Linked DNA regions of Styela clava. The protein of the gene in region 2 interacts with the protein of the main gene of each other region in a biochemical or structural test. Links are inferred from orthologs where the notes say so. Each region holds a gene or a part of one and is shown on either strand. Other genes may lie near its edges.

Evidence for each region.
Region 1: the proteins of dual specificity mitogen-activated protein kinase kinase 4-like (region 2) and mitogen-activated protein kinase kinase kinase 4-like form a complex in vitro, tested with the Homo sapiens proteins (2 studies listed by BioGRID, with this or other methods). The link is inferred for Styela clava from reciprocal best matches to the Homo sapiens genes MAP2K4 and MAP3K4.

The regions. Positions count from the first base shown.
Region 1 is NC_135252.1:8,152,462-8,160,487, forward strand, and holds the start of mitogen-activated protein kinase kinase kinase 4-like, read right to left. Parts: upstream 3,209-8,026; 5' UTR 3,148-3,208; coding exon 1-3,147. UniProt on the Homo sapiens protein: Component of a protein kinase signal transduction cascade. Activates the CSBP2, P38 and JNK MAPK pathways, but not the ERK pathway. Specifically phosphorylates and activates MAP2K4 and MAP2K6.
Region 2 is NC_135258.1:10,669,160-10,677,358, reverse strand, and holds the start of dual specificity mitogen-activated protein kinase kinase 4-like, read left to right. Parts: upstream 1-5,181; 5' UTR 5,182-5,271; coding exon 5,272-5,481; intron 5,482-5,992; coding exon 5,993-6,166; intron 6,167-7,214; coding exon 7,215-7,421; intron 7,422-8,199. UniProt on the Homo sapiens protein: Dual specificity protein kinase which acts as an essential component of the MAP kinase signal transduction pathway. Essential component of the stress-activated protein kinase/c-Jun N-terminal kinase (SAP/JNK) signaling pathway.

The DNA.
Region 1 (8,026 bases), on a different chromosome or scaffold from region 2:
TTCAGAAGGTTTTTTCACAAATATAACACAATCCATTTTAGTAGAATTTTCTACTTCACGATCGCTTCCATGTTTTTGCCCAGATGAAGTCAGCAGATGATTGAAGAGCGCTCTTTCAACAAGGCCCCACACTGTTATCGATTCAGGGACGCCCGCACACTCTAAAGAAGCTTTCAGCATTTCCAACTGATCTTTAGGATCTGGAATAAATATCCAATAATTCTGTAAATCTACATAATCTGCAGGGGTGGACAAGCCATTTTCATTTGAGTTATTCTCCCTCCAGTTCATTTTAAGTAGGGTATCAGAAATATCAACCAAAACATAACCTTCAGAAGACATAGATTCCAGAAGTTGGCAATATGAGCAATACATTTCAGGACTATTTCCAAGATATATAACATCAAACCCAATTGCAGGCTCCAAGGCCTTACGCAATCGTTTTCCAAAAGATAATATTCTTGTAGCTCTTTCTCGAGTTTCGATAAACAAATCTCGGACAGCCCTACAGAGTTCAAATAAGTAACGTTTTTGGTAACCATTTTGACTTATTTGTTTGTAAGACAACCACGGAAGAGAATTTGCACTAGATGATGAAGATGTAGTAGATATTTGTCTGTTCATATTGAACTCTGTTGGAGAACTAACTGGTGTCACCGATTCGGATGACTGAACAGAATTATGACGTGATAAATGTGGACTTTCAGAACGTTGCCTGTGGAACCACAGAACACCAGCTTGAGCCTTTGAAGTATGCTTAATAGAATCTGAAATTCTTCTTTCTTTTTTCAAATCTTTGTAGGGATTTTGTTCAGCAGGTGAGGGAGTTTCCATATCGGTTTGCGACTCAATTAGAGCATTAATCGCACTAACAATAAACTCTCGGGTTGAGTCAACAATGTCTGCAGATATTCGAATAAACCTGCTCGCACACATAACAATTCCGTCAAAATCAATCAGTGGGGATATATTGTTAGCAAAGACCCATTCCTGTTCCAAAATCTCCTGAAAACCTCGAGGAGCATGTGGTAAATCACCCAACATTTTAACCAACCATGCGTTAACAAAATCCAGGTAAGTTGTGAGCATGCAGCGCAAATCTGCTTCATAATCAGCCATAGATAAGGTGTTATCTTCATCTTGCTTATCTATGTATATATCGCCGATCAAAAAATTCAAAATATCTCTAGCAAGCAAACCACATTCAAGCATTTCCTTAGATTCGGCCACAAGCTGCTTTGCAGTTAAAAGACATACAGATGAGCCACTGTTGTTAAAAAATGGCATGGCTTGTTTCATTCGCAAATGCATACATTGCTTCATAATGGCAAACAGAACTCGAGGGAAAAAGAGATATAAGGGCTTGATACTTGGCAAATTAAATAGAGCAGTGTTGCAATCGGATGGAGATACAGCAGACGCTTCAACAATGACAAAATCTAATTGATTTCCTTCAAAAATATTTCCGTGAGACTCAGAAAACACATTGTTAATTTTTGTCAAAAGATTCGAAAGTTTTGAAGTTTGATCCTTGCGAGTTGACTGTGACACACAGTTTAGGTGTGTCCATACATTCGCAAATGAAACTTCTCTTTCCTCCTCGCAACCAATTAAAAACTGAACTGAATCAGAATCACCATTGTGGTCCATAAAATCACTCTCATTTTCTATACGGGACATCTGAGGGGTGGAAATATAGCATTGTTTTGGAAGTAAGTTCATCTTTGCACGAAAAAGTCCACTGAAATGCTTGTGAATAAATGTATGCAGGATTGATTTAACAGCCTTTCTTTTTAAAATTCGACTCGTGTATTCACTTATGATACTTTTAAATGTGTCCACACTAAGGTATGAAGGTATTTCATTACTTGTACTGCTCGTTTCCTCCTCATTTTCAGAAAGGCCAGTTAAATTGAAATGGAAAAGGTGTAAAGCAATATTGAGTTTTCCTTTTAAATCTGATGTAGTATTATACCAACAACAGAGTGATTCGATTTTCGACTGAAATTCTTCACTACTGTAATATGGGTATTCTGCTGATAATGTAGAGGATGAGGGATATAGATTTTCAATTATACAAAGAAGTTTTAACACCTCTCCAACTTTGCTAAGAGCATCTTCTTGTAGTTGAATATACTTTTTGGTAGGAAATAAGATATTGGTCTCAAGATCATATTCAAGACTGGTGTCATGAAAAAAACGATTGGCATGCGGTAATGCTTTGGGTGATTCTATATCTGATATATCTTTATCAGATTGTTGAGACACCTCTAAGTCAGAAACATTACTTGACATGTAGCTGTCGCATTCTTCACATGCCGCTTCGGGTATCTGCTCTAAAGTAGAATCTATTTTTTCTTTCAGTTCCTTGAGATAAGTGATGTAGTTACTATCAAATTGAAACACAGACACAAATGATAAAACGTCCATCACAAGACAATGTCGCGCATTGAACAATATTTGATCCTGCTCCATGAGCGAGTGATCATTGAACCACGCTTGCAATTCAAGCCAGATAAGCTCATTTCGTCTTAATCTGTACATTTGTGAGGTTTTATGATCAACTTTGCTTCGATCAGTTTCCGATTGGTTCTGTTTGTTATTCCCTGCCGTGACAACCTGTCTTAATCTTTGCATGTAACGATGCCTCATTTGTTCTGTTGGAGAAGGCTTCTGAAATTTAATTTTAGATTGGTTTTTACGACCTTTGCCTTTCGATTTTGAATTAGATTTTATATTATCGCTGACAAAATCCCTTTCAGATACACATGAAGTTGACAGACAACGAAGTGGGCGACCACTTCCAAGCATAAACATATCTGATTGGACAGAAGCTCGTCTTCCAATAACAATATCATTGTCACCAAAAATATCATCGCCATCTCTGGCTGTTGGAATCGAATCCCCTCTTTTTGCATCTCGCTGATGGGAGCGGATCTCAGTTTTCTTTTTTCGCATTGAACTCCTTGGGCTATTTATATATCGATGATCTTTTGAACTAAACATGAGATGTTTGTTTTTAGGGTCAACTTTCCACGCATCCGACCCGTTCGCAGCGGCACCACCAGATTTTGCATTTTTTATTTTGCTCCTAGATCTTCTCCTGGGAGGTGTAGCTTCTAACAGGTCATTCACATCATAATTCATTACCACGATATTCTACATAGCAACCGATGGCACTAACTGACTAAACATAAAAATTAGAATTGATGAATATTGCAACAAAAGTCAGAAAGAATAAGTAAAAAACTGGCAAGCATTTCACTACTGCACTATATATCACATACAGACATAGGGACAGCCACATTCAGACATTCCCAAAATTTAGTATTCGGAATACAGGAATAGATTGTAAAACTGTAAAATGACAAATGATATTTCTGAATGCAGGAATTAGAAACATTAAACATATATCAAATATCTGAATATATCCCAAAATGAAAAATGTTTACCAAAGAATTTTATATAGCTACTGTATGCAAATTTATAGAAATTGAATTTAGTAATGATTTAAAAGGTTGTAATACAGTAATAAGGGGTCTGGTATAGTTTAGTACCACATGCACTTCTAGTTGGCCTGGCTCAATAATTTTTGCATATTTCAATTCTAACCCCCACCTGACTACATCACCGAAAAATTACGTCATTTCGAAGTCACAGTGGCGTAATAGGGCCCACCAAAGTATGCGGATGGTCGTCCAAAACGCGCAGACTATCACCCATAATTGAGCAAGCTATTTCTCTTGTTCTCTCGCCACAACGATCACGATAGGAGAGAGATTGCCAGCGTTAGCGAGATCGTTATCGGCGGCGCAGATGCCATTTCGGGCGATCGTAATTATACTTCGGCAAGCCCTATGACGTGATGGTGACGTCGTAGTGAAGTTTTGGATGGCATTGTCAGGTGGGGGTTAGGAATAACATATGCAAAATTCGTTACGCTTCGCCCACTGGAAGTACTTGTGGTACCGGTACTAAACTATACTAGACCCGTAGTTGGCACTGTTTTAATTAATTGAATATGGTACCCTACCAATATATTCAAAATCAATAATCAGCATAACAGGTGATAACGTACCGTAACTGATAAAAACAAACACATATCAAAGAATCAAGAGGGCAAACCTTAGGCTTTTTAAAGATTAATAAGGACACATGGAATTTCACATAAAAAGTCGCTGCCAAACGAAGTGGTACCGGGTACGGTACCTATTTGCCACGCCATATTGCTGTATTCTGGTACCGGTACCGGTATCGGACATCGGTACAGTATTGATCTATCGGAGGATGGCGAAATTGAATACCGAATTAATAAACAAATATTACAGCTGATTCTTGTTGGAGTCTACTGATACTATATAGTATCCGGCGTATAGACTACCGTGCCGAAATCATTGAGGTGGCCGAAATTCTAAATAGCCCAACCGTAACTGCCACAAGTTTACGTTGAAGGGGTGGGATAGCTCAACGAGTATACAGTATATATGCTCATTGGCTAGCTAGACCAGAGTTTCCCAAGGCCAAACTAGGGGCAACCCTAAAATGCGGGAAACGGGAACTACGGGAAATGCACTAAAATGCGGGAACGACGGGAAATTGCAAAAACTAAAATGCGAGAATGACGGGAACTACGGAAAATTTCACTAAGAAGCGGGAATGACGGGAAATCGTTTTAAGATACGGGAAATACTCATTTTGTAGTATGTTTAGGGGAAATTGTTCTAGGAAACAAAAGCAACGGTAAATATACGCTTGGGGGTGTATGTACGTGAAAATTTGTCTAAAATGCGGGTATGACGGCAAATCGCTTTAAAGTACGGGAAATACTCATTTCAGAGTACGTTTGAAAGAAATTGCACTAGGAAACGGAAGCAACGGGAAATATACGCTTGGGTTGTGTGGGTACGGAAATTTCACTAAAAAGCGAAAAATTTCACAAAGAGTGGCAGTGACGGGAAATCACTCTGAGATACGGGTAACATGTATGTTAGTACAATTACCCCGTACATGCACACTCAAGTATAAACGACACTCCGTAAGTATGTGCAACAAGATGACGCCAACCTGAACCCAAACCTGGTATACATACTATGTTCAGGTTGTGCGCCATCTTGTTGCACATACTTCGGGAGCGTTGTATAAACTTGCCGTTGCTTTCGCTATTCAATGCATATTTACCCCACACATACTCTAAAATACATATTTCCTACACCCTAAAGCAAATTCCCGTCATTCCCGTCTGTTGTGAATTTTCCCGTAGTTCCCGCAATTACAAATTGACAAATTCACGTCGTTCCCGCAGTTACCGCTTTTTAGTGAATTTCCCGTCGTTCCCGTTTCCCGCATTTTAGGGCCCTAAAATGCAGGAAATGGAAATGACGGGAAATTTTACTAATAAGCGGGAAAATGTTACGAAATCCGGGAACGATGGAAAATCGCTCTAAGATACGGGAAATCTGCAATTTAATTCAAATACCCCGAACGTGCACACTCAAGTATAAATAGTCCGGCAGAAAAGGGGGCCTTTTCGGCCCAAGTTTGATTTCAGACATAAAGTATTTTTTATTTGTGATTATTCATCTTGGGGTCATTGCCCATCATTTCTACATGGGTGTGGAGTTTGCAGCCTTGAGCAATTTTTTTTACGGCTCGATATTTGTATTAGTGTTTTCTCGTGAAACCTGTGCATCATAATGACGCACAACCTGAACCATAACCTGTTACAATACTATGTTCAGGTTGTGCGCAATCTTGGTGCACAAACTACGCAAGCACCAAATTTACGAAGAAATAAAATCAATACCTTTTAGGTATTTATTGAGATATTTGTATTAGTGTTTTTCGTCAAACATGTGCATCATAATGACGCACAACCTGAACCATAACCTGTTACAATACTATGTTCAGGTTGTGCGCAATCTTGGTGCACAAACTACGCAAGCACCAAATTTACTGGGAAATAAAATCAATAACTTCTAGGTATTTGTTGAGCACAGCTTTGGGTCGCGACCCATATACAGTATATGAAAATACTGTCGAAACATACGCGTAAAATAAAGAGTACTATTTCAAAATACCCGTTTTTGTTGCAATTAACAACACAAGCCTGCTAATGCAGTCGCCATTTGTTCAAGTGGATATACACCCGGTGGAGAACAGTCAATTATTTGTTAGCGAGAATTGTTATGCAGCGGGATGATCACGACGACGCAGTGAAAGATAATGATATCACGAGAACAAGAATGAGAAAATTGCTACATTTTATAGTATATCCCTGGAAAAGAATGTAGTTCATTCTTATGTTCCATGCCAATGCTTTTCAAACTGCCAAAGACTCTCAACACTTTTGCTTCTTCTCTTCTATAAAATCCCCCCTTTTGAGAAAACCTGTCATGAACTAAAAGAGGCGACCGTGATTCTCTTGCCTGTTGTCATGCTGTCCCAGGAATTCTGCTACAACAAAAATTTCACAAAAACGAATTTTTAAATTTTATGGTTTTATTAATATTCTCAACAATGAATGATATACGGGTGGTAAAATGCCAAGTTATTCCAACAACATGATCATGTTTTGCAATTTACAACCAATATTTTGTATGTAACTTTGTTTGACAGAGCCCCAAGAGCTCTAACTACAAATATCAAAAATGTGAGGCCAAAAAAGTCACACTACAACATTGCCAAATGTACTGTATTTACCATAGATAACAGGTTTACCAAAAAGAATTACATGAAAAATGGTAAAATAAAGATCAATTCAGCAATATATACTTGGTGATATGCATCTGTTGATGATTTCAGGTGTTTGTTTCGGAAGTTTAATAACAGAATTAATTGTGGTTGTTGGGGATGTTTTAAAAAAAGGTTGCATGGAAAAAAGGTTTTCACAAAATGTCAAGGTTTGATAGTAGTAGAGAAGTAGAAAAAATACTCCCATGTTTTTTTTTTTCATTTGATAACCACGCCACAGAACTTCCCCGATAAGTATACGCAGCAATTGCGAGAGGCAGAAATGCCAAGATGGGATTTCATCGCATTGCAAACCAATATTAGCAATTCTTATATATATTCGCGCATTCCCATCTGAACAGCGTGGAAAAGATTATACCCATCTACACACTTTAAGAGCTATGTCAGATGAGAGTCATATTATCGAATATCAGTAAAGGAATAGTGCAATGGGAAAAGACATATAAGGCGGAACTTTCAGTAGTATGCAATCAAATAATCTTATTGTAGAATATATATTTAAAAACATTTCGTCACGCCAACTGCAGTCCGAACCTTTTGTCTCTGGCTGAGCTTAGATACCAATTAGCACTCATATAAACTGGTAAGACTGTAAGAGGCACGCGATGGAGCAGATACTAAGAGTATCCATTCCCCAGCTGTCATTTGAGTGGGTACTGCTGTTTTTATTGCAGATTTTACTGATCTTTTTGTATTAAAGATTTACTGGCATCACCGATTTAAGGATGTTGGAAACCAACCAACCATATTACAAACATTACTTTCAACACGCGGTTTAAATGAATAAAAAAGCTGAAACTAGTATTCTTTAGAACAGCATACAAATTCTATGGAATGAAACCATACACAAAAGCTCGTCAAAAACCTATAGCTCAATAATCAAGTGGAATTTGATGCATGTGCGCAAAAATGTGCGCGTTACTACGTACAACCGAAGCACGCAGGAAAATGTGTGTGATGTACTAGTATTCAAAACGTTTCACTCAACTGTGTTAGCATAACGGGTGTACATCTCGGTTTCGCACACGCATACCTTCTATCTCCACAAGGATATATTAATTCTGCCAAAGTCAATGCAGCACTGAAAGGTTGCGGCTTTCCCAAAAGAAAACACGTTACACATCTTTAGATACCAGTGGATGGTTTTACATGGCCTTGTTCGGAGTGAAAGACGAGGTCAAATATTCCAATCCAATTCAACTAATAAAATATTTCCCAAGTCCCTAAGCTTAAACTAGGAAAACGAAATGCGCGCAGCAACGCAAGTGTAGTTTGA
Region 2 (8,199 bases):
ATTCACATTAGCCAATGTTTCACGGGCAATTATCGGGGGAGATTTTTTGCGCTCTCACGGACTTTTGGTTGACATCAGGGGCAAACGACTTATCGAGGCAAGCACATACGCTTGTATTCCAACCAGAACGATTACTGGCACCCCGCCTTGCCTTCACTACGTAGCCGAAAACGATTTTGCCAAAATTCTGAACGAATTTCCTGATTTAACGCGCCCCACATTCAGCAACCCGACCACTGCACACGGGGTAAAGCATCATATTGTTACAGAAGGCCCCCCGGTGCACGCAAAGGCTCGAAGATTGCACCCCGATAAGCTAGCCGCGGCAAAGGCAGAGTTTGATAACATGATTGAACTCGGAATCATCCGACCCTCAAATAGCCCCTGGGCGTCTGCGCTTCACATCGTACCTAAACAGGACGGCGGGTGGCGCCCATGTGGAGACTACAGACGTCTCAATGATATGACCGTGCCTGACCGCTACCCAGTCCCAAACATACAAGATTTTACGGCCCGTCTTGCGGGAAGGACAATTTTCTCTAAAGTGGATCTTGTTCGCGGTTATCATCAAATACCTATTCATGAACAAGATATCCCCAAAACTGCCATTATCACACCGTTTGGCCTATTTGAATTTCTCCGCATGCCGTTTGGGCTTAAAAACGCCGCCCAGGTATTCCAGCGTTTAATGGATACCATCTGTCGAGGTCTGCCTTTCGTATTTGTCTATCTTGACGACATCCTTATCGCCAGTACGTCTAAAGATCAACACAAAAAGGACTTGCGAAATCTTTTCCAAAGGCTAAAAAGTCACGGTATGGTTATCAATCCTGCCAAATGTAAATTCGGTTTAAGCGAATTAGAGTTCCTGGGACATACTGTTACAAAAGAGGGTGCTTTTCCTCTCCCCCATAAAGTGAAGGCGATAACTAATTTCCCTCGCCCTTCATCTGTAAAAGGCCTTCAAGAGTTTCTTGGCATGGTTAATTTCTATCATCGGTTTTTGCCCAAAGCTGCCCAAATAATGCAACCACTATTCGCAGCACTTTCCGGCCTGCCCAAGAAGTCGAAGGTTTTGCCCAAATGGACTGACAGTATGATATGTGCATTTGAAAAAACTAAGAAAGTACTGGCAAATGCAGTTATGCTTATACATCCACAACCAAACGCACCAACTGCCCTCACAGTCGACGCTTCGGACGTTGCCTTAGGAGGTGTGCTCGAGCAAAAGTTAAATGGATCTTAGAAGCCAATCGCATTTTATAGTAGACAGCTACGCAAACCCGAGACGAAATACAGTGCATTCGACAAGGAACTTTTGGCCGTTTACTTAGGAATACGACATTTTCGTTATTTTCTCGAAGCACGACCCTTCACGGTTTTTACAGATCACAAACCCCTCACTTTTGCTATGACAAAAGTCTCTGAGCCATGGTCAGCGCGACAACAGCGTCACCTCAATTTCATATCTGAATACACAACGGATATACAACATATTTCCGGTAAGGATAATACTGTCGCCGACGCCCTGTCGCGCGCGGTCATCAACGACATCAATGACGGCATCGATTATGAAATTATGGCCACAGATCAACTAAACGACAAGGATACACAGGCTTACCGCACTGCTATCACCGGCCTTCGTGTCGAAGATGTCCCTTTTTGCAACGGCAAATTTACATTGCTGTGTGACGTATCTACGGGTAGACCACGACCTATAGTGCCTGCCAGCTGGCGCAGAAAAATTTTTGATGCGGTTCACGGGCTCTCGCATCCAGGCATACGTACCACTCGCAAACTGATCTCACAAAAATTTGTGTGGCATGGTCTTTCCAAACAAATTGGACAATGGGCCAAAACATGCCTGGAATGCCAAAAGTCTAAAATAAATCGTCATATACGGGCCCCTTTAGAAGATTTCAAAATGCCAGACAAACGTTTTGACCATATCAACATTGACTTAGTTGGTCCTTTACCACCATCACAAGGATACAATTACCTTCTTACAATAGTAGATCGTTTCACAAGGTGGCCAGAAGCCATTCCCCTCAAAGACATATCAACTATGTCTTGTGCCCGAGCTTTCCTGTCAAATTGGGTTGCCCGTTTTGGTGTTCCACTTCACATTTCTTCTGACCGAGGATCACAGTTCATTTCAGGCCTTTGGTCTGCTGTTGCCGAATTATTGGGAACAAAAATTCATCACACTACAGCCTACCACCCACAGGCAAATGGTTTGGTAGAACGTTTTCATCGAACAATGAAATCTGCCATTAAGGCACGACTCAATGATTCAAACTGGTTGGACGTGCTTCCATGGGTTTTATTGGGAATCCGCACAGCTCCGAAAGAAGATCTTACGGCATCGTCAGCTGAGCTTGTTTATGGCGCTCCCCTCACTGTCCCCGGTGATTTCATATCAGACTCTAAAGACAATAGCTGCCCGACCACAAATCTTCGGCTTCTCAGAGAAAGAGTAGGATCATTGGCTCCAATTCCTACGTCGCACCATGGTCCTTTCAGAGCAAGAATGCCAGCCGCACTCAATCGAGCCAAGTTCGTGTTTATTCGTCGTGACGCACACCGATCTCCTTTACAAAGACCTTATGAAGGACCATTCGAAGTTTTGCAACATGGGAATAAAACTTTCAAAGTACAGATTGGAAACCGAAGCGAAACTATTTCTGTTGACAGGTTAAAGCCAGCTCATCTTGATCTCGACCATCCTGTTTCTGTATCCATTCCTAAACCAAGAGGACGTCCTCCAATCCCTAAAACAACAACGAACAATCAGCGTTCTACAGACGATCGTTCATCCGAACCTACAACCGGTTATGATTACAGAACCAAATTTGGTAGAAAAACTCGTAAACCCACTAGATTTTTATAACTCATTCCGTCTGGGGGGGTAGTGTGGCGAACCACTTAACTAATAATAGCCGTTATGAGTCACAATTGTTTTGTTTATGTTTTTGTCACGCATGATTACTTACGTGCTTTTCTTACGATAACTTGTCATTCTGTTTTCTGTTCGCTTGTCGTTAACATTGCTTTGTTATGGATTAAACATCAACATAATTGAAAGTCTTTTTCTTGTTAGAAAGAAGTTAGTTCGCTTCATATCTACCATTATTGGATATTTCCATTGTAGGTTAGGCAAACAATCCCTTTAGTAGCAATAGATCTTTCTCTGTTGCAGTTTTTTGACTGTTAAATTACATTTTTCTACAAAATCTGCTCCAATTTATTTGAAATTTTATAGTAAATAGCAATATCTTTTGTGCGAGTAGGTTGCTTATATGCACTAATGGGTGTGAGATTGTATACCGATATTGTTTTGTGCGTGATTCAGTCTGAATACTCAATACTGAGATATCTAAATCCGGGTTTCCCAAACTAGGGGGGAGGGGGGGGGGGGCGAGGGGTCTAGAAACGAATATTAGGGGTCACGAAGGGCACACCAGTTTCACACAAAGTTCGATATTTATTGAAACTAGTGCAAAACATAAATTTCACAATTTCGAATATGATCGGGGTAGCGGCGCGCTTGCATAACAATGCGGCTTTACAGAAGTATCTAGAGGGCCGCATGCGGCCCGCGGGCCGTATGTTGTGCAGGCCTGACTTAGGGGATTGTGCAGTCAATGCGCTGCCAATGTGTTCGTCGTGAAACGACAGAGAAAACTTTTTTCTCAACACCTATACAAACAACAACCAAAATATATTTTCCCCCTGAAAAGTTATATTGAGAGAGCAACGAGTTTGCTGAAGAGATTGACGGATAAGCGTGACGGATTAAAGTCCATGCTTCCGAAACAAACAATATATATAACTAATCCCATACCCGACTTGGAATGGTAACCGGACGACAGGCCGTGGTTCGCCATATGGATAAGCCGTCTTATCGGATTTCCTCTCCCCCGGGATCCTATCCTATCCTAAAATGTTTGAGTATTGCCTTGAAGTAAAATAAAACAGCAAAATCTTGAATTTTTGTCACACCCCATACAGCCATAAAAAATTAAAAAAAAAAAAGTATTAGCTCTCCGACGAATTCTTTCAAAACAATTTTTAATTGCCGATTGTTTATTAATTGCCGAGAAAATCGATTTTCTCCAGCAGCAATCACTTTAACAAGAACAACGAAAGCATTTAGCAAAACAGTCCATAGATCCCTTACGTGTGTAATAAAGTTCCGTTGCCAGGTTTAAGACTATTTCGTTAGACATCGTTTTCTCGACTTCTTTCTCGTGTGTTTTACAAACCCGACTACAAGCGAGTAAGCGACTGCAAGCAACTTCTAAATACTAATATGTATACAATTTTATTTTTGTCAGAACACTCCCAAATGACGAGTTTATACTCGTTGGGTGAATCTGAAACCTTTTTCGATTCAGCCTTTTCCGTGCATCTGCAACAGATAATTGGCCTATTAACGATTTGGACCATATATCTCTCCTTATTCATACATGCTTATGTCGCTTTATTGAAATTTAAAGTCACAAAGAGCAAATAAAATCCCCGTGCTTCTCTATGAAGCCTGATTAACGCTAGAGGCGCAAAGCGTAAGTAATTTCTGATTTTCCAAATTGCACCTACAGACAGACTAGTGGACCTGTGTGCTGTGTCTGTTAGTAGCCGGTTTGATATTGCAGTGTTGGGATGTGAAGGATTTTTCTGTTTTGCGTTTAGCTTCAAAGGCAGTTGAAATAACGCCTAGGGCTGTGTTTTTCAACCTATGGGTCGCGATACAAAACTGGGTCGCTTGTTAATTTTCTTAGCGATATAAGGAATGGGACATACGGTACGTCACATACGACATACCGGTCCCGTACCGTACGATACCAGACTATTTGAAAATGGAGTGCAGGAGCGGGGTCGATTTTAACTGAACGCAGAAACTCGTCTATCATTCAGTCATACCGCGCCATACGGATTTTTTTTAATCATAAAAATTTCACATCACATTTCTGTTCGGTCTGCAAATTATGCCTGCACTTTTTAAACTTAAATAGGCCTCATCCTTTATTAGAATACAGGATGAATTACAGGATCAGGAGAGCAAACAAAATCTTGGGTAAAGGATGCTTGCAGAAGAGTGGTTCATTTCAGAATTAAAACTTTTTAACTTTTATACAGTCTATAATCTATCTCGAACCTAGCCTACTCTTCTTATTTTTTTTATTCTTTTCGCAGTTTAATAACAACCAATGTAGCTTTGATACATCTGAATTCTAGAATTGGGACTGTCTGACTGACGGTGTCGTAGTAATGAATCTGCCATTGAACAAATCTGGTGGAAGAGGAAGACCAAGTCTAAATTTGAGATTTTCTTTGCCGCCTGGAAATGCAGGTGTATCACCAGGACAAGCTAGGATAACTCCTAATTTTCCAGTACCCATTGTAAGACCACCAGTTCAACCAATTTTAACTCCAGAAAATTTATCGAGCATCGGAAAACTCATCATAGGACCTTCACAGGTGATGAACAGCACTGTTACATATCTCATAGATTTATTTCCAGATCCCGGAAAAATGTCAACTGATCAAAATGTTCTATATCCTGATATCACTCGGGACATGCAAAATGAATATTGTTCATGATATACCACAGTTTTTTTAGAAATAGAAGTTTTTGCAATATGGCATTCAAATTATTATTGTTTGGACGATGAAATCTGAGAAGCTGATCATTTTCGTTTTACTCAAGTACTCAACTGTTGATAAAACCAAACAAGTAGTCACAATATGGCTCTTGTTTAACCATCTAAACTCCTAAATGAATCTGCTTCAGTAAATCGAGGCTCTACACAATATGTACTAGTATGGTATAAATTCGATATGAAGTATTTAGTTTGTGGTGCAATTGCAGCTTTAAATACAGTCTACAGATAATTCATTTCCAATAGTGAGAAGTATGTGATGAATTTGATAAATGTGTTATGAATTTTCCATTGTCTTAGAACTGAGAATTATTTTCCTACTTTTGCAGGTGTATGATTTTACTTCGAAAGATTTGACGGATGAAGGAGAAATAGGCCGTGGTGCTTTTGGCACTGTAAATCGTATGAGACACAACGATAGCGGTAAACAGATGGCTGTGAAACGAATCCGATCCACTGTGGAGGAGAAAGAACAAAGACAGCTTCTCATGGATTTGGATGTGGTCAGTGTCGTCTTTGGAGTGGTTGATGTAGTCGTTTATATAAGAGTTTCCGAAATGAATAGATTATTCGGGTCATTTAGAAATTGATTGTATTAGAAATTTTTGATTCATGATTTCAGGAGTGAATCGAAATAGTTTACTTGAAAGATGAATGTTTTGAGAAATTGAAGTTTTACGCATCACTTTGTTTAATTCCTGAAAATGATGGTAAATGTCAATCATATCATTAATCTAGACCGGGCGTGGGCAATTACTTCCCTAAGTGGGCCACTTACAAATAAAAGTCTTGGTTACTGGGCTGAACCTAAACCATGAATGAAAAAAATTATTTACAAATAACTAATGTCGATGATAACAATTGCCTACCTGCATGCTTCACATAAATTGATGTATGGGCAGAAGGAAAAAAGTGTGTTGCAGCATCCACGGCCGCACAAAAAAAGCCCTAGAAACATAATTTGTAGGCTTAAATTTCGGATGGGTGAGTGACTCATTCTGCACAGCACATGTTCGGGTGCGGATAATACGCAGGGAGTTACAGTATTTATTTTAGCCAACCATGTGTTATTTTTATTGATAATTCCCATGGAAATTTATATTCGTAAAATCTATAGTCATATTTTCAGAAGAGATAAGTGGCCCGGATGAAACACTTCGATGGGCCGGATCTGGTCCGCGGGTCGTGATTTGCCCTCCCTTGATAAAGACTCTCATTTCAAATTGAAACACTTGGAAAATATATTGGTTTCTAAGTATCAACGCCATCCCATGACCTAGCTTGAAATGTTTCAATTTTGACATCGTGACATAATATCACATTTAAAGTATTGTCCATTCTGAATTGACTGTCGCATACTTATGTGACATTGTTTGTAAAAAGTCCAGCTAAATTTATATTCTCATCACTTATTATAAGGTCTCATATTGATTAAAAATTTTATTGTCTATAACAATATTCTGTTCATTAAAGAAGAACATGACTCCATAGATCTATTTAACCCAGACCCCGTATTCTAATCATTCAATAAAAATTCCACTTCTCTTCCAGGTTATGAGAAGCAATGATTGTCCCTACATAGTTCAATTTTATGGCGCATTATTTTGGGAAGGAGATTGTTGGATATGCATGGAGTTGATGTCTACCTCTCTCGACAAATTTTATCGATTTGTTTATAAAAGATTAAATAGTGTTATTCCTGAAGAAATTTTGGGGAAAATTGCCGTGGCAACTGTTGAAGCCCTGAATTACTTAAAGGTAAAATAGGTATTTTTAAACAGATAATTTTTGTTATATTATCAGCACTAGGAAAATATCTAAGTGTGACATATAGTTCTGTAAAGATTGGAAGGAGATATCTGATACATAAAAAGAATGAAGAATAATTACTTTAGCTTTTCCACATATTGAAATATTTTAAAAATCAGCTCATCAAAAAATATACAAAGATCCAGATTCGGTTGATTTTTGGGGAATGTAGCTCGTTAATCAGCACTTGATAATTCTCTTCATGATATAATAAAGTCTTCACTGATTATCTTTTTGATTAGATATACAGTTTCCCTTCCTTAGTAAAACTGTGTTTTCACCTCTTAATTTGTGTGTAGTTTTTTCATACTGGTTAAAAAAGAAATAAACTCGAATTAACTTGACACCTGTGTATGTGTAACATAACAATCAATAGGTGTTGTCAAATTTAAATCAAATATATTCTAAAATATTGTCTCTTAAAGACAATTTTAGTTTAGAGTTAAAATGCCTGAAAAAGTTGTTTTAGAAAATCTCGATCATCAAAGTTTTGTTCAATTTTTATTTTTACGTTTGATTATGTCAATCTGTCATTGCTTAAGGTATATAGTCGTAGTATATTCGAAAACAAACTATTCCTTTGGAAGGATTTTAAATTTGAATCAGTTGTTTTTCTCCCTATATACTGTATTACTTTTTCGTTCGTAGGGCATACTATGTGTTTTAATTCAGAATGCTTCAATAAGAAACACCCACTGATTGCTTGTTTAGATTACTAGGTTTTAAC